7 linked regions of the Xenopus tropicalis genome follow. The protein of the gene in region 2 purifies or fractionates together with the protein of the main gene of each other region. This does not show direct contact. Links are inferred from orthologs where the notes say so. Each region holds a gene or a part of one and is shown on either strand. Other genes may lie near its edges.

Region 1 (4,161 bases), on a different chromosome or scaffold from region 2:
TTACAGAGAAAAAGGAAACCATTTTTAAAAATGTTAATTTTTTTATTAAAATGGAGTCTATGGGAGATTGCCTTTCAGTAATTCAGAACTTTCTGGATAATGGGTTTCTGGAGAAGGGGTCCCATAACTGTGTATAAGGGTACGGATATAATTTACAAAGCACTGGTGCTCACCATGTCTAAATCCCCTAAGCAAAGGTCCACAAAGACGGAGGCATAAAGATTCTTCTTGCTCGACCACAGATAGCCCTACAATTTAATTTGCTGAAATAAATATGCCAAGCTTTCAGGAAGGAACCCTTTGGGAAGCTTTTGTAGGTTTCCTTGGACTGCGCTAATAAATCATGTAGAGCTATGTGTGGCCCACCAGTAAGAACCTACCTGTTTGTATTTTTTGTTCTGCTTTATAATTCCCATTGAATGCCTTCCATTACTAAAGCTGTACTGCAGTTATCAATATATAGAAATATTTGTTGCTTTCATTTATTATACTAATTATATATTTATATTATTAAATCTTACTTTGCTGCTTGATTCAAGGTTAACGTCTTTTCTTTCTTTACTGTTTGGTTACCCAAAGTATTGTTCTGTGTGTCACTGTTTCCTGTGATTAGTGATACTGACACCTAAAACTAAACAATTTTTTAAATATATCATAACATTGTCTTTGCATTAGCTTAATAATATTGCCATACAAGTACTCGCTGATGCTTTACATTAAGTAATCTGATTTCCCATGTCCCTCTATGAGGGGGCGGCCATATTTGTGCAGTAGGAGGCTGTTAGCATTAGAAGCTATAACTGACAGGCTGAGAAGGGACAGTCAGGTTGGCAAAACAGTCAGGTTTAGGAGCTTTAAGTAACAATTACTTACAAAAGCAGCAGTGAAAAATAATTAACATGGCCTATAGGGAACTTTTTATGCACATTCATATTTTGAGAAGTATTTTTTTCATGTATCACTTTAAGATATTATTTAAACATAAAGGGGTTTAATGGTTATGCTTTCATAACGCATATGCCTGAAAGAATGTTACTCTTGCTTACATAATGTTTAATAAACAAATTTGGCCCTAGTTGCACAAAACCTCTCATTCTTTCTTGGTCAAATAGGCAGGTACTTTTGTATAAGTCATAACTCTAGCAAATATAAATAAAAGAAAACTGGGAGTTGAGGTAGTGGAGGGGATAGTGAGGAAGCAACACGAAAGACTGGGATTGCGCTCCCACGACTACCAGCTGACTTCGGCCGAGTTACGTCGGTTTGTCACGCCTACAATTTGGCTACGTGACGCGTCACTGCGCTGACGTGTAGGGGTGATGTCATTCTCGCGTGATGAGACTTGCGGCGTTGGAGTAATTCTGTGAGAGAGGAGGCTGGGAGGCTGCAGTTGACAGTTTTGCCTGAGCTGTAAGTAGGGAACTGGGTTGTGGGACTGTTGGACAGTGTGAAAGCTGTATGTAGTACAGAGAAGATGCAGGCGCTCGGGTAACTCCCATCATTCCTGAATTCTGGAGTTTGCTGGCAGCGGGGGTCCGGAATTCAAGGAAGTGTAGCCCCCCCCCCCCGCGATTCTTACCCTGGGGACAAGTTATTATTTATTTTTTGCCTTGCGCATCTTGTATTAAACAGGGCCCTGCTCGCACTAGCTAGTTCAAATTACATACAGTGACCCTGCCTACCTTGGGTGTTCACCTTTAGTGTTCATACAGTGGCCCCGGCTGTATTGGGCAGCTTCAGTGTTCATACAGTGGCCCCGGCTGTATTGGGCAGCTTCAGTGTTCATACCGTGGCCCCGGCTGTATTGGGCAGCTTCAGTGTTCATACCGTGGCCCCGGCTGTATTGGGCAGCTTCAGTGTTCATACCGTGGCCCCGGCTGTATTGGGCAGCTTCAGTGTTCATACCGTGGCCCCGGCTGTATTGGGCAGCTTCAGTGTTCATACAGTGGCCCCGGCTGTATTGGGCAGCTTCAGTGTTCATACAGTGGCCCCGGCTGTATTGGGCAGCTTCAGTGTTCATACAGTGGCCCCGGCTGTATTGGGCAGCTTCAGTGTTCATACAGTGGCCCCGGCTGTATTGGGCAGCTTCAGTGTTCATACCGTGGCCCCGGCTGTATTGGGCAGCTTCAGTGTTCATACAGTGGCCCCGGCTGTATTGGGCAGCTTCAGTGTTCATACAGTGGCCCCGGCTGTATTGGGCAGCTTCAGTGTTCATACCGTGGCCCCGGCTGTATTGGGCAGCTTCAGTGTTCATACAGTGGCCCTGGCTGTATTGGGCAGCTTCAGTGTTCATACAGTGGCCCCGGCTGTATTGGGCAGCTTCAGTGTTCATACAGTGGCCCCGGCTGTATTGGGCAGCTTCAGTGTTCATACAGTGGCCCCGGCTGTATTGGGCAGCTTCAGTGTTCATACAGTGGCCCCGGCTGTATTGGGCAGCTTTAGTGTTTATAACGTGGCCCCGGTTGTATTAGGCAGCTTTAGTGTTTATAACGTGGCCCCAGTTGTATTAGGCAGCTTTAGTGTTTATAACGTGGCCCCGGTTGTATTGGGCAGCTTTAGTGTTTATACCGTGGCCCCGGTTGTATTGGGCAGCTTTAGTGTTCATACAGTGGCCCATGGGCAGCTCCATGGTTGAGCCACCATCTGTGCTGTCTTTTTGTCTCTTTGCAGTGGAAAAAAGTTGGAAATAAGTACACAGAGCACTTGAGTGTGACTTCACGCTTAGGTGCCATGTGTAATTTTCCAATTGGCTGCTGCAGAAGGCCTGTGTAATGCAGCTCAGGGCACTTGATGCTATAACTAGAGAAATTTAGAAATTCACATTTGTATATTTGCAACCTTTAAGAATTATAACAGTGTCTAAAGACTTCCTTTAAATTATAAGTATGGGTGGTTTTGTACATACAATACCTATTTGTTTTTTCATAAATGCAACGTAATAACAATAATAATTAAGACTGAAAATTGGCAGATTCATAATTGAGTGCATTGGCACTTCAGACACAATACGATAACATCCTAAACTCCATTAAAATAGGTACCCCATGCCAATATAATCATTAAATGGGTTATTTCTTGTCTTTACAGAAATGTTTTCGCTAAGCAGCTCTCATATATCAAAACAAATAAGTGTCCACACTCACAGGATTTAAATTATTTGTAAAAAAAGGTAAATTTTATTACAAAATGTGAAAAAGGAACATTACAGACCTGTACTGTTACTTTTTCACATTTTATAATAAAAATGTTCACATTTTATAATAAAATATACCTTTTTTTTCAAATAATTTAAATCCTGTGAGTGGGGTACTGAAATGTTGAGGTTTGTCATGTTCCTATGCATATGTCTTAATAAATATTGACACTTTTTTACCATATAAACCCTGTGAGTGCTAACATTTCTTTTGCAGTATTTGATTACAACTGCTCTTGCACCCAGGTTCTGACTTTGTTTCATGCACTCCACTAACAAAGTCAGAACCTGGGTGCAAGAGCAGTTCTATATCTATATATATATATATATATATATATATATATATATATATATATATATATATATATATATATATAATTATGGAAGAATTTCAATCTGTGTATTCTGGCATATGCCCGAGGGGCTGCTGTAAGATTCCTGTTTAGTGGTCTATTGGGGGGAGCTATTTGGGTCTCTGTGTACTTCAAATGCCAGGGGCTATGTTGAATCCCACTCTGGGCGTGTATATGGGGATTTTATCAGGAAAAGCCACACAAACATTTTTTGTTGTTTTAAAAACCTCTATCTGATCAGTATGTCACTTTGTGGCAACCTTACCAGACTGGTTCTACAACATTTAGGCAATATTACAACGGTTTTAGCTCAGAAGCTGAATCTTTCTGGTCATCCTGTGATTACAGGTTCCTAACTGTAATCGGGTGGGGGTAGGTTAGCATGTAAATTGTTTGTTTTGGTTCTTTTCTTTTTTTCTTATTTGATTTAGGTGCTTCTTTTAGTAGTAACCGAGAATATGTAGATTGCTAGTGCACATCCACAAGGTCCTGTGGCATCCGGATAACATGACAATAAATTAAAAAGGGATGAGAATGGCACTCACAAAGCTTTGGAGCAAAAATGCCTCCACAGTGTTAAGCTCTACCAATTATTACAATTGTGGAAGCATCGTA
Region 2 (3,998 bases):
AGATTATTTTTTTCCTTTTAACAAATTTAAAAAAGGTACTGAGATCAGTATCATGGGAAGACTTCTTATCCGGAAAACCCCAGGTCTGAAGTCTTCCAGATAACTGATCCCAAACCTGTACAGGTATGGGATCTGTTATCAGGAAACCCCTTATCCAGGAAGTTCCGACTCCCACTGACTCCATTATAAGCCTATAATTCTAATATTTTTTTTAAATGTCCTTTTTCTCTGTAATAACAGAACAGTTACTTGAACTTGATTCCAACTAAGATAAAATTAATCCTTATTGGTAGCAAAACAAGCTTATTGAGGTTAATTTTTAAATAATCTTTTAGTAGACTTAAGCTATGGAGATCCAAATTACAGAAAGATCCCTTATCCATAAAATCTCAGGTCCCTAGCATTCTGGATAATAGGTCGCATACCTGTACCTGTGTTTTTTTTTTTTTTTAATAGAAATTTATATTTATTATTGATATTCCTTTTCTAGGCCATCTCTAATGAGTTACAACTAAAATATTGCACCTTCTTTATTTACCTGTACCAGACTTCAACTTCTTTTTTAGAAATGGCTGCTGTTTTGAAGATGTTGGGCTTTGGGTGTGGTACTGACCCGACAAGGCTGGAAGTACTGTTTAAATCAACCTTGACTAGACAAGTGCCACAGGTAAGTAAAGGGGGTAGGGGGATGCCAGGCTTCAGTGTTAAAGCTTTAGGTTATGGAAGGAACCTTTTTCACCAACAAATTCCTGTGAAAACCTGTAAAGTCTCTGTATAAATTATATTTGCTGAACATGCCCAATAAAACATTACCTATCTGAAAAAGACTATGTAACTTCAACCTGTACCGCACTTCATGACAACAGTGCACCTTATATCAGTATGACACAACAACACACCTTGACAGCATACCGAGAAGCTGAAAACACAGTTATCAGATCTCAGCAGTGTGCTGTTATCAGTGCAGAATAACTGGGCCATTCCAAAACATACAATAACAGTCATTTGTAGGACAGCAGCAATTTTCCTGTAAACACTGCACTGTGCTAGTCTATAATTACAAAAAGAAAAACAGCAGCATAGTGAACAATGAACAAAAAATCTCATTACATGAATTACGTCCTTGCTATATCCACTTTTAATTAGAGGCTCTCACATGGAGTGCACATTTACCACTTCTCATTAAAAATACTGAATATAATTAAGATACTATCATCTCAAAAAAACCTTTTTAAAAAAAAATACCATGTCAGTCCAAGCCTGCTTGAATCACAGTACAATGAATGTTCTGTTATAAAGATAACTAGATTCTCAGCTATAAAGCAAGACAGGACTGACTGCTGCCTTCTTAGACTAAGGACATTAATCATGTGATTTCACTTTCAAATGGAAGCGGAAACATAGGATTTTTAACAAGTAAAAATGTAAGGTATTTTCCCCCCAAATTCCTTTACTTTACTAAACCTAACATGACCAACAGGCAAAGTGTAATTTTGTTAAAGATGCCCCTTTAAGATGGTTAAGGAATGGGTATGTTTGGATAGTAAATGTCTTATGTCTAGTCCAAATAGAGGGAGTGACAAATTGCTCTTATGACGTATTTACTACTATTCCATGGCATCCTTTAATTAAGAGCTGAACACTTGTTTAAGAATGAAACTACACATAGACTTGAAGAACAGAGGCCAGTAGTACCAAGACTCCATATTTATTTATTTACTTACTTCTGGGGGTATGTAATGATTGGCAGAAGTCAATACTGTGAATCTAATACATAATGATATACAAGAAAATACATATTTCCTGCCAAGTCTCATTCATTCAACATGATAAATCACACATTATGAACTCCTATCCTGCTGTCATGCTGGGAGGAAGGAAATATTACAATTTCATGGCCCCTGCCTGACCTGGTGAATCCTGCTTGTGCCCACGCCCAAAATTTTCTCTGAGCTTGCAAAGCAGTGATCAGGCAGTTAGGGGGGAACAAAAAACCCCCATGGAGTAAGGCAGGAATGTAACCCACTCAACACAAATTCAGTAAGCGAGGGTAAAACTGCTCAGCCTGATTTCACTGGTTGCTGAACTACATTTCTACAAATGCTGCCTTTAGGATAATATTGTAATGTGTAGTTTAACCACAGCAAGAGCCCAACCAGGTGACAAGCCTAACAGTAGTAACTTCTTGGTAACAGTAACCCAATCAGGAATCTCCAGTAGGAAATGACTTCCCACTGCACTTAGCTCCCTTCCTGCCTGTCACCCCTGCTTCTCTGTGCCCCTCTGCCAATGAACATGCCAGCTGATAGCTGCTGTACTGTACACCCACCCACCAACCAACACAAGGAAACATTAGTTGATTTTTGTCATTTGCCAACTGTCCAGTCTCCATATATGCAATGCTATATAAATAATTTTCTCTATTTCCAGCTGTGTCAGTATAGCCGCCCTTCCTGTACATCAGTGGGTGTGTAGCACCTGGGAATTACACATAATACAAGGGGCCCATATAACATGTTAATCTCTGTTGTCCAAAAGTTCCCATTGCCAATGGCTAACAATTCGTCCTTCAAATCTCCACCAGTACCCCCATCTATATACTGCGGGTGTGTGCAGCTCGCTGCGATCACGGATATATATACAGGAATAGGACCGGTGCTCTGTAGAAAAACTGGGGATACTGACTGTTATTTGTGATCCTCTGCACATTGCCGCTGCAGGTCTGAATAATGCTGTTGAAGTCCCGGGCACGGCTCTGCTGCTTCATGTACCCAGACATGTTGCTCCTCTTAGGGCCCCGTCCTCCTTTCTGAGTATAAGAGATGGTGGGATGAAGCGACTCTAAGGAAGTCGTGATGTCATAGCCATGTGACCGTGATGTCACGTAGGAATTGTCAGGCTCCTATCAGCGATAAGCGCCTCCCAGTCATGATACCACGTGACAGCTTGGAAAAGATGCTGTTGTTGCCACTCCTTTAAAGAGAACAAGGAATGCAAATGTAGAATTCTGCTGGTTTATAAAAATCAGCAAGTGCGCCTTTGGAGGATGGGGTACTTAATATCCCAGGTCCTGGAGCAATTGCTGGGTCTAATTATTTTTTTTTCCCTACACCCCTAGTACTTGGATTTAATGGAGGGAGATGAGAAATATGCTGGGTGCACATGGGGGACAAGTATTGTGATCTTTAGTAAAATGTTGTTTACCTGTACAACAGGTAAGCAGTTGAAGCATAGTGTGTGATATGTATGTTCAAGGCTGCTGTTAAAGGGCAAGGTGATATATACAGGAATTATATATGAGTGATGTGTAGGCTGGGACTGGCAATCTATGGGTTCTGGCAAATGCCAGAGGAGCTGCTGTAAGATGTTATAGACAGTTAATATTTATTGGGCTGGTAGAGGGCTGTTTGGACCTCTTGTGTACTTGAAATGCCAGGGCCTATTTTGACTCCCAGTCTGGACATGGCGATGTGTAATATCTGTTGGACTTCTTGGGAACTCTGAATGCTGAGGGAGGGCAGTTTGGTAAGTCCATCAGTGCCAGTGGATAGCAGCGTTTTATGTATGGATGTTTCTGGGGGTTGCTAGATAAGAACTGTGATTGGTTATTTGGTAGCCCCTATGAGGACTGGCAGCATACAGGAGGCTCTGTTTGGCAGTACACCTGGTTTTTATGCAACTAAAAATTGCCTTCAAGCCAAAAATTAAAAAACAAGCACCTGCTTTAAGACCCCCTGGAGAGACATCTAGGGTTAGCGAGCACTATGTTGCTCACAAGCCACTGGTTAGGGATTACTGTTCTTACAGAGGCAAGTGATGAGTATTGTGCCACGCAAAAATCTTTGCGTCACTGCATTTTGAATCATCTTTAAGAAAGTATTGTGTGTGTGGGAGGTAGAAATACGGTAGTTTGAATTAGCAGAGGTGCGCCAGGAATTTTTAAAAAAAGACCCCTTAACTGCTCTCCTCTTTCCCATCCCATTATCATCCTCTCTTTC
Region 3 (4,264 bases), on a different chromosome or scaffold from region 2:
CCCACAACATGTGATTACCTTTAAGAAAAAAACCCCAAAATTAAGGAATTGGCGCATTCTAGGGTAAACATTATGCCCATGTAATCTGGAGGTATTATTTATTACATTTGGACTTGAGAAGTTTTACAGAAATGTTATGCACTGACAAACTAGTGATTTTTTTTTCTTGCTGAAATTAAGGGCTGAGAACTTTAGTTCCCATGCACACATATACAGGTTATTTCTACATAATTTCCAATTAACTATTATAGGACAAAGAATCTGCACAGTGATGGAAACCTTTGTGCACTGGGCAGGATTGCTTAACATGCATGATATATAAGCATTTTTGGAATAACTGTCTCACCTTTTCGAAAGGGAAATACTGGCATTTATATGGTTATTTTATTGGCTGAAACAGATAATTCTCCATGGTTTAAAGGAATGTCTGATGAAGAGACCCAGCTGCCCCTAAAACCTGGTCAATAAATATAAAACAAAGAGCTGCTTTTTTCTTTCTCAACCAACTAGGTTTGAAATTAAAAATACAAGCTGCCAATAATAAACTGCCAGGGACACAAAATAATAAAGATAATAAGTCTTAAGTCTTGGCTAATATTTGGCATATAAAGAAAAAAGCAGACTAAACTGCCAGTTACATAAAAAGAAATGAAAATATTCACATATACATTTCCTTCCAGAGCTAACAACCCCCCCCCCCCCCACCCCACCCCATTACACCATGATTCTGCATTTACAAGGAAAAAGAACACAATGTAGAATTATACACAGGGGCAAGAACATAGCTGCGAGTTCAGCAAAAACCTAAAAAATAATTCTTGCATTCTACTGTTCAAAAATGTATTACCCGAGGCTCTGTCCTGTTCTGCTCTGCTCTGGAGCTGGTGCTAAGGAAAGGGGCCTATAAAAGCTATTTTTCTCTGTACTGCATTTTCGGCGCCTGAATAAGGTGCTACCGCAATTATGAACATTAAGGGCCTTAAGTTTGCCTTGAGAGGAAACTTCCGCAATTTTGGGAAATTGCGGCACCGCATATGCCATACCACCGGCGATTGACATTTAAGCCGATGGGGTGGCATATCGGGGTGATTAGTCGCCCGCGACAAGGGAGATTTGTTGCAGGCGAATAATCTCCCCGTCTGCCACGGCCCTAAAGGAGAAGGAAAGTTACAATCACTTGGGGGTGCCAAAATGTTAGGCAGCCCCCCTCCCCTCAGTGACTTCAATCGCTTACTTGAAACCCCCAGCCGGTGCTCCTGTTTGGAGAAAACTGCAGTGGCCAGGGTGTATGCGAGCGAGCGTTCCTTCTTCTTTGCACATGTGCAGTAGAGTAAAAAGCCGGCTTTAACAAAATAGCTGGCTTTTTCATTCAACTGAGCATGCTTCGGCCCCTGGATTCCGAAGAAAGAAGATAAAAGGAAAAGGAACACTCGCTCACATATACCCAAGGCCACTGCAGTTTTCTCCAAACAGGAGCACCGGCTGGGGTATCAGGTAAATGATTACAATCAATGGGGGTGCCTAACATTTTATTTATCTCCATCCCATCCAGACACACTCCAATAATTCTGAAGTATCCAGCCGGATGCTTACTATATACAGTCACAATACAAAAGCACTTATTTTTGCATGTTATTTAAGTAATCCAGTGAAGTTAAAGAGTGATTCACCTCAAGTTAACTTTTATTATGTTATAAAATGATCAATACTTGGCAACTTTTCAGCTGGTCTTCATTTGTTATTTTGTATCGTTTTTGAATTATTTGGCTTCTTCTTCTAAAGCTTCCAAATGGGGGTCACTGACCAGGTCTGATCTGGGATTCAAAATAGGCCTGGCCAATTCAAGTACACAAAAGGCCCAAACAGCCCCCACCAGCCCAATAGTGACTGTCTATGGTATCTTACAGCAGCCCCTCTGGAATTTACCAGAATCCACATATCGTCAGTCCGGGCCTGTCACTGACCCTGTCTGTCAAAAACTATTGCTCTGTGAGGCTACAATTTTATTGTCATTCTCTTCATTACTTATCTTCCTAGTTACGTTCTCTCCTGTTCATATTCCAGTCTCTAATTCAAACCACTGCCTGGTTACTAGGGTAACTAAGATCAAAGCAACCAGATAGGTGCTGAAACTCCAAACTGAAGAGTTGCTTCGCAAAAAGCAAATTAATTAAAAAACCGTAAATAATAAAAATTAAGACCAAATGCAAATATAAATCTCCACGTCATACTTAAAAGTTAATTTTAAGGTGAACAACCCCTTTAAAAGTTCTACGTGTTCCAATCTATACAAAGTTGTCATCAAGATCATCCTTATGACAGTCAATGAGACTATATATGTACCCTCTATTGTACATGATAAAGATATCAGAGGTTATGGGAGGTTTCATGACCATATAGTGGCACAACGCAGCAAGACACAAATTTTAGAACTAAGCACTGATTATCACTATCAATTTACTGGATATTCATGGCTTGAGTACTGTGTGTGTGTATAATATATATATATATTATATATATACATACATACACACACACATAGAAGATAAATTAACAAGTAAAGCAATAGGTGGCCATAAGTGTGTAGCAATTCGTATTTAGTACAGTAACACAAACACTGGGATTTGTAAAGAGGAACCACTGACAAGAAGACAATAAGACCGAGCCATCTTCCTCACCGCCTGTGACTGTCACAAGACAAACTGGCAGCTGTAATATATTCGGACGGTTCACTATTGGGGGAATCCCTCCCAACTAGAGCCGATGCGGCAGACCTGTACCTGTTCGGATGAGACTCCAGCGATGCTCAGCTCTAAGCTTATTCACTGGCTAACATGGCGCTCCAGCTGACTGTAAACCATCCATCGCTCGAAACGCGATTCACCGTCCTGTTCCCTTTAACCCTCTGAATGATCTAGAGTTCGGCGTTCTCACAATGCGCAAGCGCACTGGCACAGTGTGAAGCCAGCCTGCCAGCACCATTGTAGGACTGAAATTAATGATTTGACGTTGTTTGTATTCATTAACGCCGTACAAAATGTTTTTTTAAGTATTAATTACATCTTTTAAGATGAAATAGAGACATTAAAGAAATGTTGTCATTATTTTTAGTATTGAACAAATATTTGCTCTTTCATTTTATTTTAAATTGTCTCTTTCTTAGGCTAATATCCCATGGGGAGATTTAGTCGCTGTGATTTTTAAAAAGTGAGTCGCTTTTAACAAGTCACTTGTCTTTTCCTAACAAGCGATTACAACAATGGAGCAATTCTATTTCCCACAAATCCAAGTGTCATATTCCACAATTAGAAATTATATTCAGTGCAATGGGGAAATCGCAGCAGCTTCCATCAGTGGGTTTTACTTTCAGCGATTCCAGTAGTTTTTAATGACATTGCTTTCTTTGTAAAATCACTCAAAAAAGGGTCTCATATCGATTCAGAGCGTTAAGCGATTTGAAGTAGTATCGTCTTCGTTGTCGTGGGCAACTAATCTCCCCACAGTGCCATCCCACCCATTCTAGCCGGTGGGATGGCATTGTGGGGAGATTAGTCGCCCGCGACAACAAAGATTTGTCGCGGGGTGACTAATCTCCCCAAGTACCACTGCCCTTATACTGTAGAGTAGACATTTACATAGATAGGGTTTATTGGTCCCTTTGTAGGGCACTTACTCCTAGTGCAAGGTTATGTGTTTGCTTGTGTGTATTTATAACACCTTGGGGCACATTTACTAATCCACGAACGTCCGAAAAGCGTCCGAATGCTTTTTTTCGTAATGATCGGTATTTTGCAATTTTTTTCGTAAGTTGTCACGACTTTTTCGTAGCCGTTATGACTTTTTCGCAAATTGTCGCGACTTTTTCGTAGCGTTACGACTTGCGTGAATTGTTGCGATTTTTCGTAGCCGTTGCGCCGAGTACGAAAGTTTCGGATTCATTCAAGCTTCAGTATCGTGACTTTCCTTGGGTCGGGTTGGAGCTGCAGAGTGCCATTGAGCCCTATGGGAGACTTTCCTTGGGCCAGGTTGGAGCTGCAGAGTGCCATTGAGTCCTATGGGAGACTTTCCTTGGGCCGGGTTGGAGCTGCAGAGTGCCATTGAGCCCTATGGGAGACTTTCCTTGGGCCAGGTTGGAGCTGCAGAGTGCCATTGAGTCCTATGGGAGGCTTTCCTTGGGCCAGGTTGGAGCTGCAGAGTGCCATTGAGTCCTATGGGAGGCTTCCAAAATCATGCAAAGTCTGAAAGGTTTGCCCGCCGTTTACAA
Region 4 (2,651 bases), on a different chromosome or scaffold from region 2:
TTTCAGCAGGGCATGCAAAGCCTAAGCCTGTGATCAAATCATTAGTGATCCCTGCACTAGGGCATAGCGATCTGTAACTCTTTCAACAATAGTATATAATACAGTGTCTTATATAGTGTCTGGGCCTTGAATTTAACAACTTTCGTCCATTAACCTAATGCACTACTGCATGGTAATATAGCTGTCTATTTCTGACCCCCTTATATCTCCATGGAGAATTGTGCCTAGTATGGAGGCATACATATACTAGGGCAGAGAAGTAATCTTTTTATATTTTTGCTGCAGCCCACAATAAAATCCTACCACCCTGCTGGTCAACTTTTCCCTCCGCCAGCTAACTTCTGGCAATAGTACAATCCATTGTACAGGCAATCGTCTTTATTTGCTTCCAGTGTAGCAATACACTTGCAGCAAACAAAGATTTCCTGTGACAATGGCAGTTTAGACAAGGCTGAAACTGCACCTTCGTAGAAGCCAGGGGGAAACAAAACAAAAAGGGAAATTGTTTCATTTTTAATATTTCTATTAGAAAAATACATAGGGTAAAAATAAAGTTATCGCGGCCCTTTAAAGGTTATCTGAGAAGCTTACCAATTACCATCTCAGAGTTACAGAATACCTATTGAAAGACAGCAGTGGATCACAGCCTGCTTTGGGCATTTGTAGTTCAGGAAGCTGATAGAGAGGGAAGTATTGCGACAGCTTCGGACGACGGACAAGAAGGTATTTATTAAGAACATGCACCACGTGACGGAGAAATCACAGAGCCAGCAGCACAATTCGAGAATCCAGCCTTCCCTGGTAGAGCTGCACTTTGGGGAATGTTTAACGTCTTAATGTGGTAACGGCTTCAATGTTCACTTCCATCTGGGAGAGACAGTATGTTAGTCATAGCCACGATGGACGGGCTCTCTTAAAAGAAAGAAGGCAGAAGAGAGAAGTCTTCAATGATTACTTAACAAGTCCAGTTGCTTTAGATTTATTTATACTAGATAAGGCAGAAGAGAGTTTCTGCTTAGCACAACTAATAATTACAGGGCTCCACGGCTAGAAACAGGCAGACAGTTAAAGAATGCTGGATACATTATGTACATCGTCATTCAGCAGTATCATGTAACCCCCAAATACCATTATCTAATCATTTTATACATAAAAGAAGATTCTGGGGGAATGGAACTTGCGAAAATAAGTTGAGAGGTTTGGAAGTTGGTTGTAAGTTGTGAGTGAAAATACTTACGCTGCCTCTTCTTTGAGAAGAGCAAGGAACTTGCTAACCCGGTATTCTGGATCCATCTGCAAAAGCAGGTAAAATTAAGCATGCTAAAAATAATCTTTAGTCATTGCAAGCATCAATGAGGGAGGCAAGTATACCCGCATCAGCATTATACAGAAATCTAAACCATCGGCTCACCACTTACCTGCATGGACATCTCAATAAGCATCAGCAGTTTTTTGATTCCAATATACACTTTTTTGCCTTTAACTTGTTGAGCGATTACTGATCTTTCGTTGTCCTTGAAACCTCCCAGGAGCTGTTGAAACAGGAAACAAAGAGTCAACAAAGTTTGTTATGATGGTGCCAATGTGGCTGGTTAAAGATACTCAGGTTCAAGCATATTAGTTACTAGGATGTGCTTTGTAGAGGGAACAAGGCTATAAGCCAACATTATGGAGGTTGTTTCCACAGCCCGTCTTTCCAATTACTGTTTTCTTTTGGTTTTGTACATAACACAAAAAAATAAATCCCCCCCACCCCGTTATGCCTTATGCCATATCATTGCTCCATGCCATACTCCAGTGATTAAACCACTCCTGTGCCATCCTATAGTTTTAGAAATAGAACCCCACACTAACAGGGCTCTGTGAATATTTAAGGAGAATTATAGGAGATGTCAGACCAATGTATCGGAAGTGTTATTGCACATTCCTCTCATAATAATTCCACTGCATACATAGAAATGCAATAATGTTAAAAAATATTCGAATCTGAAGTGCCCTATACTGGCAATAATACTTTTACTTCTAGATTTAGGATCTACTGTTGAGTCTCCTTTCTAATATTTTGACTCTAGTTTTGTCTAACAGCCAGGCCTGGACTGGCAATATGCGGATTCGGGAAATGCCAGACAGGCTTAAGTAAGATGCCATAGACAGTAATTATGGAGTGGGATGTCAGGGGGGCTATTTGGGCCTCTGTGTACTCAAAATGGCCAGGTCTGCCAAAAACAAGGCAATTTAGCTAAGCACACACCTCCCCACTTGAAAGAACACAAGTCATGACCTCACCTCTAAGGCTTCCATGAGTTGTTCACCTGTGACGATATTTGGGACACGAATGGTTGTGCTAAATGCATCAAGCATTTCCATTTCCTGAAGCACATCCTTCCGGCTGGTGGTGCCAATAATTAGCAGCTTGCGACCCTTTAGAAAAGTGGTAGAAAGAAGGATATCAATGGTGAAAAGTATATTATATTAGCGTTTGTATTAGTTACCAAACTTTAGCTCTTTTACCTGAGGAGGGGCCTTCTTCAAAAGGACAAGTAGAGCCTGCAGCACTAGGTTGGAGAAGCGAGGACCAATAGGGACATAATCTGGCAGGAAAAGAGGTAAATTAACTACCTATGATACATAATAAACAATCAACAATTGGT
Region 5 (4,289 bases), about 71 Mb from region 2:
AATCAGGGAACAAATAAAACCTCCCCCAATAAAACCTAACAGGGGTTTAACCATGAGGCTAAAAAACCACCCACATCCTAATTGCTGCTTTGATTCCCCATGTTGCCAAGTATGGAGTAAGACCACTCCTGCTTGTTGGCTTGAGTACGGGGCAAAAATAAGGGGCGTGCCAACGGGCATCTGCCTGGCAACCTGGTTGATTTAAACACAAACTACACAGGGCCACTGATGCAGTTCTCTACATAGGGGCAATTAATATCCAATTACTGGCCTGTGGGCCAAATCTGTGATAATTATATGCCTGTATGGCTATCAGTAGGCTAATGTCAAACTAGGAATATCTATTTGGGCAATGTCAGACGCAGTGCTCTGTCACCTGAGGGAGATCTCACGTGGGCAAGAAAGAATCTGAAAAAAACCATTAATTCAGATAAATGAAGATTGTTGCACTTTACTACTTACGGAGTGGCCAGATTTTATCAGCCAAAGGTCCACCAGACAGGTCAAGTGAAGACACAAGGAGCTACTTAGGTGCAGCAGCTACAAATGCCAGATAATACCTTGCCATAGACAGTACTAAGAACTGCCTCTCCCAAAACACATGTAGAGACAATTATCAGTAAATGATCAGCTTTGTCTATTTTTGTAGCCACGACAAGTAAGAGGTGATAGATGGGCTTGTGCATCAGAGCTTGCAATCTACAGCAGAAAGGAGAGTGCTGGTGAGCAGCTACTAAACACAAAGTACACCAAACTGGCCTAAAGACACTGAATTTTATCACCTAAAAGGGATTATTTTCTTTCTTTTGAAGATTTTTTTAGTAATGAGTCCCACATAATGCAATTTTTAGGCTGCCCTATCTCGTGGGTTGGGTCTAGTAGCTAGGGACGTAGTCACATTCTCTATTCCAGGGCAGTCCAAGTGCCAAGTAACAGCTGTAGGAAAAGTGTGGGCCTCAAAAGGATTTTTATGGCCCCCAGAAGGAAAGATGGGGGTGTCCATTGGACCATTCATGTCAGGCAGTCAGGGCACATTACTCTGTAAGCACCATATCCCCTACAGCAAAGAGGCAGAACTTGCTGCCCTTCATATTTAGCAATTACACCCATTACCCCCCCAAAAAAAAACTCCAGTTGCTCCTTCCATAGTGCTTTAGCTTGGTGATGGGATTCTGGGACCTGGCCCATCCCTGCCCTACGTGTCCCACGTTACACAGCAGTGTCATTAAATATTTATGAGTAGCCATTAACTAACCATTCTGGAAGCAACAGAAATGGGCCAATAGAAAGTCCCATGTTAATGCCATAAAGTGCTCGTACACCCCCTTGTTCAACACGAGCTTTAAGGGATACTGTCGTGAGTAATTCACTCTGCCATTTAAAATTTTAATCTTAAACCAACAAATGTATTTTTTTAGCTGTAATATTGGTGTGTAGGCGCATCTCAGTACATTGTGCCTGAGTCTGAGCTTTCAGAAGGAGCCAGCGCTACACATTAGACCTGCTTTCAGGTAACCTATTGTTTCTCCTACTCCCATGTAACTGGAGGAGTCCCAAGCCGGACTTGGATTTCTTACTATTGAGTGCTATTCTGATACCTACTGGGAACTGCTTTCTTGCTCCCTTCCCATTGTTCTGCTGATCGGCTGCTGGGAGGGGGGGCATATCATTCCAACTTGCAGCGCAGCGGTAAAGTGAGACTAAAGTTAATAAGAGCACAGGTCACATGGCTGTGGCACCCTGGGAAATGAAGAATATGGCTAGCCCCATGTGAAAATTCAAAATTAAATATAAAAAATATGTTTGTGTTTTGAAAAGCAGATTTCAACGCAGGATTCTGCTGGAGAAGCTCTATTAACTGATGAGTTTTGCAGAAAAAAAAAATCATGTTTTCCCATTGCAGTATTCCTTTAATGAACAGAGTTTGAATTAAACATATTTCTATTTTCATTATGAAAAATATGTTTCATTGTAGAGCTAAAAAGAGCAGATAATTCAAAGAGACTCCATGTAGGTATCTCCCATCCCACCCCATTACTGACGCAAGTAAGGGAACACCCCTATGGCCACAGGGCACCAAGGAGCCCTATCATAACTGCTGCCTTATAAAAAAAAAAAACTAAAAATATATATTTTTAAATTAAAGACCAGGCAAAATGTATTTTCAGCATAAGTCCTACTCATTTAGCCTGTGCGTATCCATACAATACACTGTAACAGCAAATGTTTCACACACACACACACACATACGTATATATATATATATTTTTTTTTTATCATATACAAATATCATTAGCTGTGGCACACAGTCCCAGCATCCCCCGTAGAACTGTAGCAGACCCCACATGACTGGGGCACATGGAGGGGCGGAGCCAGTAGCCAAGAGGCAGCGCTATTGCATCATGCCATGTGGGGAGGTATATTTGTGCCCATAACACGGCTGGTACCGGCAATAATTATTACTATTATCATTTCATGCCTCAGGGCGGCGCAGGGTCGCCATTATAAGTACATTCATACACATTGTGAAGCGACAGCAGTGAGTGAGTAGCGAGCAGGCAGCGAGAGAAGGCGGGACAGCAGCTGTCATTACCTTTGTGGAGCGGAAAATGTGACGCGGTGGGGGGGGTCACGATGGGCTCTCGGAAAATACCGAACTCCTCCTGCACTTGGTACAGCCTTTCTCTCAACCGTGACAGTGCCTTCCGCTCCGGAATAGATTACTCACAGCTCCGGCTCTCTCCCCGGCTTGCTTGGAGCAGGTACCGCTACACGTCACTGAGGGGGCGGGGCTAGGACTGACAGAGCCTTACATGGGCGCCCCTTCTCACACGTGACCTTGACATACGCCGCTCCCATTGGCCGGAGCGGGAGTAGTAAGGCTGGGAGCTGCGGTGCATGATTGGTACCTCACAGAGCCTTATTACTTCATTATCCGCCCGTTCAGGCTCAGGCAGGCTCTCTAGAGTTGTAATAAACCAATATTTACTAGACGTCTGCAATTAAACACTTTGTGGAGGGTGCCCCTTTTCTGTATAAAACTGAAACAGAGCCAGGGTAGTTATTATTCACGTTGCCATCGTTCCTACAGTTGTTGGCTCAAAGTGTACGTGGGGTTTGTGCTGCCAGGTCTAACTTTCAAAAACAAGCAAAAGAGTAAAGGCAAAATCCTTCCCAAACCCTATGGGGATATATATCTGGGCATATCTAAAGTGTATAGCCCCCCCCCCCCCAGAGGAAGAGAATAAAGACTGAGAGAGCTGAGGAATGATGACAGTTCTAGAGTAAAGGGAAAACATGGCAGCAAGAATGAGTTGACATAAAGAAAGGGTGACAGCTGAGCCTGGGGTTAGCTCCCAACTGTCCTGTTCTCAGCCTGCAGTCCTGGATTCTTACTGAAAAATCCTTCATTTCCCTTTGAGCTCCTGCACCAAAAAAGATACAACATTTCTCAAATGTAATTACATAAGGAGGCTTTTGGCAGAGCACCAATTATAACTAATGACATCATTAAGAATTATACATTCATTTCTATAATATACACAAGAGCCACTGATGTATTTATATATGGGCAGCCAAGTGCCTGTGCCTAGGGTGGCAGATTTTGGGGGGCGGCCTTCGGGTACCTATATAAAAATGCACTCAGGCATCACAGATTTCCATAAGTGAGGGTAAGGGGGTCAGGTTGCCCATCACTTTAATGATGTAGGTGCATGTGATGTTACTTATGCGCCAAACGGTGTATTTAGGTCCGGTGCCTAGGGTGGCAAAGGCCCTAAATACAGCCCTGACTATCCTGTAAACTATATCCTAATAAACTGTGCTTAGTGATCATTAGTTATTATCGATGCTGAGTGATGTAATTTCTGTCATGACTCATTGAAACTTGTGTATTATAATAAATGCTGCACCCCCTGTTGTAAAATATGAGAATATTATAAGTAAACTCGGAGTTCCATATAGTCATGAAACTCTTTGGTAACTTATAATATCCATATATATTACAATAGGGGGTGCAGCATTCACTATATATACACACGTAAGGCTGAACATTTCACTCCTGACTGTATTTTATATACTATTTTATTCAATTGGCTCCGATGAGTATGTAAAGGGAATATTACAAGCTGCCTCTCAGCCACACAATAAAGCCAATATAAATTTGACGTTTCAGTAAAAAACAAAAGCCGAAGACAAGAGGGACATGTGCAGCCAACAAGGACAGGGACACTGTGAGCCTATCTCCCAGTCTGGCAAATATTTTGCCTTGAATCTCCGATTGGAAGTTA
Region 6 (3,929 bases), on a different chromosome or scaffold from region 2:
CTGATATAATCAGCCTCTGAGACAGAATGCCTCCCAAACTCCACACACACGCACATCAAATGTAAAAGTGTCTGGGGAGTCATTAGCCCCCAACATCTGAATGGAATTCACCAGAAACTTTGCTGTAAGTTTTGCACTTATTGCTCAAAGGTAAAGACCTTTGAGCAATAAGTGCACATAGTGCAAAACTTACAGTATATTATTAACATTTATTTATAAAGCGCCAACATATTTTGCAGCGCTGTACAATAAGTGGGTTTCATACAATGGACATACAGAGTAACATATAAAGCAATCAATAACTGATACAAGAGGTGAAGAGAGCCCTGCCCAAAAGAGCTTATAATCTACAAATTGTGTATAATTATAATTTTATTACAATATTCTGGTCTGCAGCTGTAGATCATAAGTGAAACAGGCAGCTGCTACACTTTCTCTTCTCCTTAGTGCCAGGGTAATTACTGGGATCTACGTGCAGATCAGCTCCTCTCCTTTTTGGTAAAAATGGGTTTAAAGCTGTTTTATTGCTGCTGGCCCTTCTCTGAGTAAATAATTTGGGTGTAACCCTGGCATTCTCCTCTCTAACAACATACGGTTACATTATATTAATCAGAAGAATCTGAAATAAATGACTTACACAAAAAAAGAGTTCCCAATTGGATTGAGCTATGCTATCAGCAATCTGCAATTCTCTAGAGAAAGAAGGGACCTACTGGGGTCACAAAAAAGTTAATACGTCACCTAAAGGCTACATCCTAATGTTCAGTCAGTTTGGAAGAGATCTGCTACACTGACCAAGTGTATCTATATGGGTTATAATCTGGATACTTAAAGGAACAGCAACACCAAAAAAATGAAATTGTATAAAAGTAACTAAAATATAATGTGCTGCTGCCCTGCACTGGTAAAAGCTGTGTGTTTACTTCAGAAAGTCTACTATAATTTATATAAATAAGCTGCTATGTAGCCATGGGGGCAGCCATTCAAAAGAGAAAAGGCACAGGCACATAGCAGATAACAGATAAAACTTATCTGTTATCTGCTATGTAACCTGTGCCTTTTCTCCTTTTTTCCAGCTTGAATGGCTGCCCCCATGGCTACACAGCAGCTTATTATATAAATTATAGTAGTGTTACTGTAGCAAACACACCAGTTTTACCAGTGCAGGGCAACAGTGCATTATATTTTTATTACTTTAAAGCTCTTTCATTTTTTGGTGTTACTGTTCCTTTAAGGGTGAAGACACAATGGGCAACTAGTACCAGCTACTTTGTAAAGGCTACTAAACTCCAGAAAATACCCTAATGCCCTAACACATGTAGAGATAACTATCAGTAAATGATCAGCAGCCTTTTTTAGTAGCCATGACAAGTAGCTGCTACTAGTAGCTCTGTGTGTCTTCACCCTAAATAGTATTACCTAACTGTAACAAGTTCCTTATTATGATTCTTAGACCAATATCTGATAAATTTGCTGGTTGCCACTTCCCATAGTAATGTATTAGAAATCCTCAGCCTATGCAGCCATCACAAGGGTGATTTCCTCTGGTTGCTATGGGAGGCAGGCGTGGGTGATTTCAGGGGCTTAAACCCCCACCAGGATACAATGGTGGTCAAAACCTACCCTGTGACATGTAGCAAATGCACTTGAAATGAAACCTATCTGCTGATGAAATTCACCCAATCTGAACAACATAAATTCCGTAAAACAACAATGTGCTGCAGCAGAACATTCACATTAAGAACCATTTCTTAAAATGAGTCAAGACTTGTGAAGCAGTAAATACAAATGCGAGCCATTAAGTCTATTTTGAGTTCTAACAGAAGTCATATTATGTAATGTAACAACAAGCTGTTATTGTACTACAACTCCCATCCCATTAGATGCTAGGAGTCAGTGTCGGACTTGGGATGCTAAAAGCCCACCAGAAAACCTTAGACCAGGGATCCCCAACCTTTCTAACTCGTGAGCAACAGTCAAATGTAAAAAGACTTGGAGAGCAACACAAGCACCATAAAGTTCATGGAGGAGCCAAATAAGGGTTATTAGGTAGCCTCTATGCACACTATCAGCTTACAGGGGCTTTATTTGGTAGTAAATCTTGTTTTTATTCAACCAAAACTTGCCCCCAAGTCAGGAATTCAAACATAACTCCCTGGTTTGGGGTCACTGAGAGCAACACCCAAGGGGTTGGGGAGCAACATGTTGCCCCTGAGCCACTGGTTGGGGATCACTGCCTTAGACCATGGGGCCACCCTCCAAATTATTTTTCATCCATTTCTTATCTCTATATATTCCAAGTTATTTTTCTTTATCTTTACAGACTATAATCTATTTTTCTATATATTTAGTTGCTTTGTTCCCTTATAGAAAAATAAGTAAGGACCCTGAATTAGGCCAAATGGCTAGAAGCAGGAGGGCCCCTGGGAATTCTCCCGGTATCCCTGTGGGCCAGTCCGACACTGCTAGGAGTTCAGAAAGCAGACTGAAACATTACACGCCTATTGTAATTGTATTTACCCTTTAAAGCCATAGGGCACTTGTGTCCCCTGTCAAACACCCCTATAAGCCTATGCACAAACTTCTCGGCCGAACTAAATACAACTTTGTACGGACAAAATAGCACATTCTGCGCCCAAACTCTACGCCTCACAGGCCCCGCTCGGTAGCGCAGGGCTAAGGGCGGATACCGGGCAGGGCGTTCCCCGCAACTTGTAAAGGCAGCCCCCCCCAAGCACTACTGGCACACTTACATTTTGACAGGCTAGATACTGCAGGACACCGGTCCGACTTTACTCCGCTGGGCGTTTTTGCCTTGTGTAGCCGCAATCCCGTAGAGTTCCGCTGCCGGGAGAGGTGTGGCCAGCGCAACTCAGGGCGTGGCCAGCATCAATGACGTCAGGTGCAGCGCTGTCAGCTGAGCAGCAGGTCACGTGTGTGGCACAGCCGCTCCCGGTTTTGTCTTGTTAAATTGTCCCTCGGGGAACGGCGGAAACCGCTGCGATATTCCCGCCAATGAACTGGCATGGGGGCTTGGCGTGCGAAATTCCACACGCAAGGGTTATGTTCAGAATAGTGTGAGGCGGCGGGGGGCCCTAGGCGTGTCGGGCAGTCTAATGTGTTTCTTGCTGCGACATTAGGGGAACGCTTCTAAAGTTTAACTAGAGAGTATTCAGCCTGGGCACACAGCCTCCCTGGGGCCCCTTTGGTATAAATGGTAGCTGAGAACATTGCACTTATAGCTATGCAGCCTGCAGCGCAGTAACAGAAATAATCATTTACCTCAGTAGTCAAATAAAGCTTACAAACTAAATCCATATGGAATTCTTACAACACCGTTATATAAACCTGACCAGGAGACGAGTTATTCTTTTAATAACATTGGCCAAGCTGCGGACTAAAATGTTTTGAGGTTAAGGAAGAAATAAAACAATATAAATATGTATATAGACTGCAACTATTTGCAGGTTAAATTAATTTAATTATTATAACCAGCTTCCCCAAGTAAACAGGTGTCCTGTCCCATGGCCTGGAGAGCCCCCACCCACTCTCCTCTGCAGTAGGTTCCACACAAAGTTTGCCATGGGTGGGCCTGGACTAGCCACGCCTCCTAGGAAGGAAGAGGGGAATTGTAGGTGATTTTTGGGGAGGGGAAGTTTGGATAGGAAAGATATCAGGTGGTTGGTAGAAAAGATATTAGCAATTCTATAAAGGTGGCCATGCACCTTAAAGCTGCCAATTCGGGTTCTTCACAGTAATTCGCCATCTTATCTGTCAATGTATGGGGCCCTCTGACAGGCATCCCCAACCAATAGCTGCCCAAAAATCGTCCAGATGACGATCGGATGGTGCAGGCTTGACTTTTTGTATCCCTTTCATGTTATAGTTTGGCCTTAAGCTGGCCATACACGCACCGAAACCTTGTTTCG
Region 7 (4,217 bases), on a different chromosome or scaffold from region 2:
CTCACTGTAGTTCTGACTCCTGCACTCATGCCTGTTCTCTCATTAATACGGTCTGTAACCCTTTGTTGGCAATAGAGCCAACACATTACAGCAAATGAGCCTTTGCTCAGGTGGAGGGAGGAGTCAGATGAGGCTGAACTGTATCTCTCAGACTATGCACAGAAGGTGCAATAATACTGATGGTGAGAAGGTTTGTTGGGTGTGGTAGGGGTACAGTTTCTCCTCTTGGGTGGAAGGACTATCCCCGCCATGAGTGCCCCCCATGCTCACCTTGCTCCTACTGTGAGACTTGCAGCACAGGGTTTATCTGGCACCGGTGATGTCCCACTGCCTTCTTATAGGGGCCCATTCTGCAATCACAACAGCACCAGGAACATCTGCCTTTAATCCTTCTAGGACCTCTGCCCCACACTTGACACTATGGCCACTGCTGACCAAGCCCCTCCTTACTTTCCCAAGATTCCAGTCCCCCCACACCTCTGGCTGTAATCCACAACCCCCCCCCCCCCCCCCCCCGATCAGAAGTGTGGCACCCCCAGCATCAGCCATCAAATCTATCCCATCCATTACCATTACCTGCTGCTATTATTTCTGCATGAAGATATCCATTCAGATTCACATTCAGAACTACCCACAAAATGGCAGCGGTTATACTTGGCCAATCACTGCTCTTCATTTACTCCCAACAAGCGCAACAACCCCCTCCTGAAGTGGGATCCACAGACAATGCGCCCCATACTATTGGGGGAACAAGGTGCAGGTTACACAGCCAGTTGTGCCAGTGCAGGGCAGCAGTACAATATATATTCATTACTTTGATATACTTTATTATTTTTGGTGTTACTGTTCCTTTAATTGGGCTGGTTGGGCCAAAAATACCCCAAAGTCAACGGAAGTTCTCAGCAGCCCCTCTGGCATTGGCAAAGATTTCCCCAAAAGGTCGATTTTTCCATCTTCTTAAAACTAAATAAATACTCCTATGCCACCCTGCCCCATCTTGTTTGCGAACGTTCTCCCATTATGCGGGTATTTTCCTCCAAATTTCCCTACTTTCACTTCCTCATTAGAAACAACACAGCGCCCCCAGCGAAGCTTCAACCGAACTGCAGCATTTCAGCACCAGTCACGTGACCTAGAAGTGAACTGATCGGATTAACAGAAATACACTACAAGTCCCGTGATGCTTCGCGCCTGAACCGGAGACACGTGACGGCAGGGAAGCCGAGGAGGGCGGAAGTAGGCGAAAAAGTGACTGGAAGAAAGATTGTCAGTAGGGGAGAGTTTAGAGTGTTGCGGAGAGAGTGAGACTCGGGGTCGGAGTGACAGAAGCTTGTTGCTAGGAGACAGATTTATTGTTATTATTAGAGGTACAAGTGATAGAGGTGCGGGGCAGGGAGCGGGGGGAGATGAGTTTATACACGTGTTTATATAAACAGAGGCTGTGAGGGGAGGGGGCAGAGTGCGGCCCCAGGGATGGGAGAGATACCCTGCTAGCCCCTATACTCACATATACACACACACACACATATATATATACAGGTATAGAGAGAGACAGGAGCTTATATAGAGGCTGTAGATTCCTATAAGGGCAGCTGGGGCAGAGAATGCAGTAAGTGCCTGGGCACTCTAGGGGCGCTATGTAAGTACAGACATAGATTATTGTATAGAGTTAGATAGAAGGGGAAATAAGCCAAAACAGGAAGAAAAGCCAAAATGTCTCTGGACGATCCATTCTCAGTGGTGAGAGGGTGAGTATTGGCTTCTTATTCCAGCAAATGGGCAGTGCCATGCTGCCTGTCTCCTGTGCCCGGGGGGTTACCATAGAGACCGCAGCGAGGGGCGCCAGGGAGTATACAGGGACATGTGGGGTTCTGCCTATAGGGGAGACAGATTGTGTGACTACTGGGGGTCCTAAGAAGTATAGGGGCCCAGAGGGGCACTGACTAATAACAAGGGGTTTAGGGGGCCCAGAGGGGCACTGACTGATAACAGGGGGTATAGGGGCCCAGCGGGGCACTGACTGATAACAGGGGGTATAGGGGGCCCAGAGGGGCACTGACTAATAACAAGGGGTATAGGGGGCCCAGTGGGGCACTGACTGATAACAGGGGGTATAGGGGGCCCAGTGGGGCACTGACTGATAACAGGGGGTATAGGGGGCCCAGAGGGGCACTGACTAATAACAAGGGGTATAGGGGGCCCAGTGGGGCACTGACTGATAACAGGGGGTATAGGGGGCCCAGAGGGGCACTGACTGATAACAAGGGGTATAGGGGGCCCAGTGGGGCACTGACTGATAACAGGGGGTATAGGGGGCCCAGAGGGGCACTGACTGATAACAGGGGGTATAGGGGGCCCAGAGGGGCACTGACTGATAACAGGGGGTATAGGGGGCCCAGAGGGGCACTGACTGATAACAGGGGGTATAGGGGGCCCAGTGGGGCACTGACTGATAACAGGGGGTATAGGGGGCCCAGAGGGGCACTGACTGATAACAGGGGGTATAGGGGGCCCAGTGGGGCACTGACTGATAACAGGGGGTATAGGGGGCCCAGAGGGGCACTGACTGATAACAGGGGGTATAGGGGGCCCAGAGGGGCACTGACTGATAACGGGGTATAGGGGGCCCAGCCGGGCACTGACTGATAACAGGGGGTATAGGGGGCCCAGAGGGGCACTGACTGATAACAGGGGGTATAGGGGGCCCAGTGGGGTACTGACTGATAACGGGGTATAGGGGGCCCAGCGGGGCACTGACTGATAACAGGGGGTATAGGGGGCCCAGTGGGGCACTGACTGATAACAGGGGGTATAGGGGGCCCAGTGGGGTACTGACTGATAACAGGGGGTATAGGGGCCCAGAGGGGCACTGACTGATAACGGGGTATAGGGGGCCCAGTGGGGCACTGACTGATAACAGGAGGTATAGGGGGCCCAGTGGGGCACTGACTGATAACAGGGGGTATAGGGGGCCCAGCGGGGCACTGACTGATAACAGGGGGTATAGGGGGCCCAGTGGGGCACTGACTGATAACAGGAGGTATAGGGGGCCCAGTGGGGCACTGACTGATAACAGGAGGTATAGGGGCCCAGCGGGGCACTGACTGATAACAGGGGGTATAGGGGGCCCAGTGGGGCACTGACTGATAACAGGGGGTATAGGGGGCCCAGTGGGGCACTGACTCAGTTGCAATATATATTTCTAACTTGTTCCCAAAGTTAAGAGGGTCCCTAAAATGACTTTTCTATGGGGTCCAGTAAAGTCTCTTTATGCCGATGGCAAGCGCTTCCTGCACCTTGTCATTCCCAAGGCTCAAACCATCCGTGGCCTGTAGTGAAGCCCGCCCTACAAGGATGTCAAACAGACCTGTGTATTACAACTCCCCCCCACTCACTGACTGACTGACTGACTGACTTCCCTGCCCTAGAAAGTAAACACAGGTCAGGCTGGCTGGGCTTTGCCTTGTGCTAGAGACCATAACCAAAGATGAAGTTATACCGTAAAACATAGACATTTGGCTGCCACCAACCCTTTCCCTGGGAGTCATTTCCCTATAGTAGTGCTGTTAGTCAGGGCCCCATAGTTAAAACAAAACTAGACTCCTCCCTTTCTCCCCCCTCGTTCCTCTGGTAGCCATCTCTCTGTCCTGTATTACTCTCTTTCTCCCCCCGCAGAGAGGTGCAGAAGGCTCTGAACACCAGCCGGGGTTTGTACCAGCGCTGGTGTGAACTCCTCCAAGAAAGCCAAGTTACCAGTGCCGAAGAGTTTGATTGGACGACCAACGAGTTGCGGAATTCCTTGCGCAGCATTGAATGGGATCTGGAGGATCTGGAAGAAACCATCAGTATCCTAATTGGTCAGACACAGTGCCAGTCCCTGTCAGGTAACCCTGAAATAGCCCGAGAGGCACCTAGTTGATACCAGGCATATTGATAGGAGGCCCCGAGGTGGCCCATCTAACATACTGGCGCTAGAATAAACCCATGGGATACAAAAGGGCCCCTAGCGTATGGGTTTATTCTACTGTTACGCTCTGTGTTGTTCCCTTGGCCACTGGTAGCCTTTTTGCAATTCTAGTCCATTCCACAGTTTTCCTTTACTCCCATCTTGGGCATCGTGGAATCGAACTCGCGAAAATTCAAGATCACCGGGACGGAGCTTAGTGAGAGAAGGAGTTTTGTGGAGCAGACGCGGAATTCTGTAAAGGTAAATTAAA

Evidence for each region.
Region 1: the proteins of stx12 (region 2) and snap23 purify together in Homo sapiens (affinity purification with mass spectrometry; 3 studies listed by BioGRID and IntAct, counting the BioPlex papers as one, with this or other methods). This does not show direct contact. The link is inferred for Xenopus tropicalis from reciprocal best matches to the Homo sapiens genes STX12 and SNAP23.
Region 3: the proteins of stx12 (region 2) and vamp4 purify together in Homo sapiens (affinity purification with mass spectrometry; 3 studies listed by BioGRID and IntAct, counting the BioPlex papers as one, with this or other methods). This does not show direct contact. The link is inferred for Xenopus tropicalis from reciprocal best matches to the Homo sapiens genes STX12 and VAMP4.
Region 4: the proteins of stx12 (region 2) and nsf purify together in Homo sapiens (co-immunoprecipitation; 4 studies listed by BioGRID and IntAct, with this or other methods). This does not show direct contact. The link is inferred for Xenopus tropicalis from reciprocal best matches to the Homo sapiens genes STX12 and NSF.
Region 5: the proteins of stx12 (region 2) and slc7a1 purify together in Homo sapiens (co-immunoprecipitation; 3 studies listed by BioGRID and IntAct, counting the BioPlex papers as one, with this or other methods). This does not show direct contact. The link is inferred for Xenopus tropicalis from reciprocal best matches to the Homo sapiens genes STX12 and SLC7A1.
Region 6: the proteins of stx12 (region 2) and vamp3 purify together in Homo sapiens (affinity purification with mass spectrometry; 3 studies listed by BioGRID and IntAct, counting the BioPlex papers as one, with this or other methods). This does not show direct contact. The link is inferred for Xenopus tropicalis from reciprocal best matches to the Homo sapiens genes STX12 and VAMP3.
Region 7: the proteins of stx12 (region 2) and stx10 purify together in Homo sapiens (affinity purification with mass spectrometry; 3 studies listed by BioGRID and IntAct, counting the BioPlex papers as one, with this or other methods). This does not show direct contact. The link is inferred for Xenopus tropicalis from reciprocal best matches to the Homo sapiens genes STX12 and STX10.

The regions. Positions count from the first base shown.
Region 1 is NC_030684.2:105,577,757-105,581,917, reverse strand, and holds the start of snap23 (synaptosomal-associated protein 23), read left to right. Parts: upstream 1-1,361; 5' UTR 1,362-1,410; intron 1,411-4,161. UniProt on the Homo sapiens protein: Essential component of the high affinity receptor for the general membrane fusion machinery and an important regulator of transport vesicle docking and fusion.
Region 2 is NC_030678.2:83,639,054-83,643,051, forward strand, and holds the start of stx12 (syntaxin-12), read right to left. Parts: upstream 2,801-3,998; 5' UTR 2,780-2,800; coding exon 2,686-2,779; intron 1-2,685. UniProt on the Homo sapiens protein: SNARE promoting fusion of transport vesicles with target membranes. Together with SNARE STX6, promotes movement of vesicles from endosomes to the cell membrane, and may therefore function in the endocytic recycling pathway.
Region 3 is NC_030680.2:107,501,077-107,505,340, reverse strand, and holds the start of vamp4 (vesicle-associated membrane protein 4), read right to left. Parts: upstream 2,801-4,264; 5' UTR 2,781-2,800; intron 453-2,780; exon of another isoform or gene 347-452; intron 1-346. UniProt on the Homo sapiens protein: Involved in the pathway that functions to remove an inhibitor (probably synaptotagmin-4) of calcium-triggered exocytosis during the maturation of secretory granules.
Region 4 is NC_030686.2:15,512,336-15,514,986, forward strand, and holds the end of nsf (vesicle-fusing ATPase), read right to left. Parts: intron 2,592-2,651; coding exon 2,512-2,591; intron 2,422-2,511; coding exon 2,287-2,421; intron 1,533-2,286; coding exon 1,419-1,532; intron 1,294-1,418; coding exon 1,238-1,293; intron 913-1,237; coding exon of another isoform or gene 885-912; exon of another isoform or gene 868-884; coding exon 858-867; 3' UTR 501-857; downstream 1-500.
Region 5 is NC_030678.2:154,474,739-154,479,027, reverse strand, and holds the start of slc7a1 (high affinity cationic amino acid transporter 1), read right to left. Parts: upstream 2,801-4,289; 5' UTR 2,594-2,800; intron 1-2,593. UniProt on the Homo sapiens protein: High-affinity, low capacity permease involved in the transport of the cationic amino acids (arginine, lysine and ornithine) in non-hepatic tissues.
Region 6 is NC_030683.2:101,173,772-101,177,700, reverse strand, and holds the start of vamp3 (vesicle-associated membrane protein 3), read right to left. Parts: upstream 2,801-3,929; 5' UTR 2,756-2,800; coding exon 2,754-2,755; intron 1-2,753. UniProt on the Homo sapiens protein: SNARE involved in vesicular transport from the late endosomes to the trans-Golgi network.
Region 7 is NC_030679.2:140,624,130-140,628,346, reverse strand, and holds the start of stx10 (syntaxin-10), read left to right. Parts: upstream 1-1,417; 5' UTR 1,418-1,713; coding exon 1,714-1,748; intron 1,749-3,675; coding exon 3,676-3,845; intron 3,846-4,112; coding exon 4,113-4,207; intron 4,208-4,217. UniProt on the Homo sapiens protein: SNARE involved in vesicular transport from the late endosomes to the trans-Golgi network.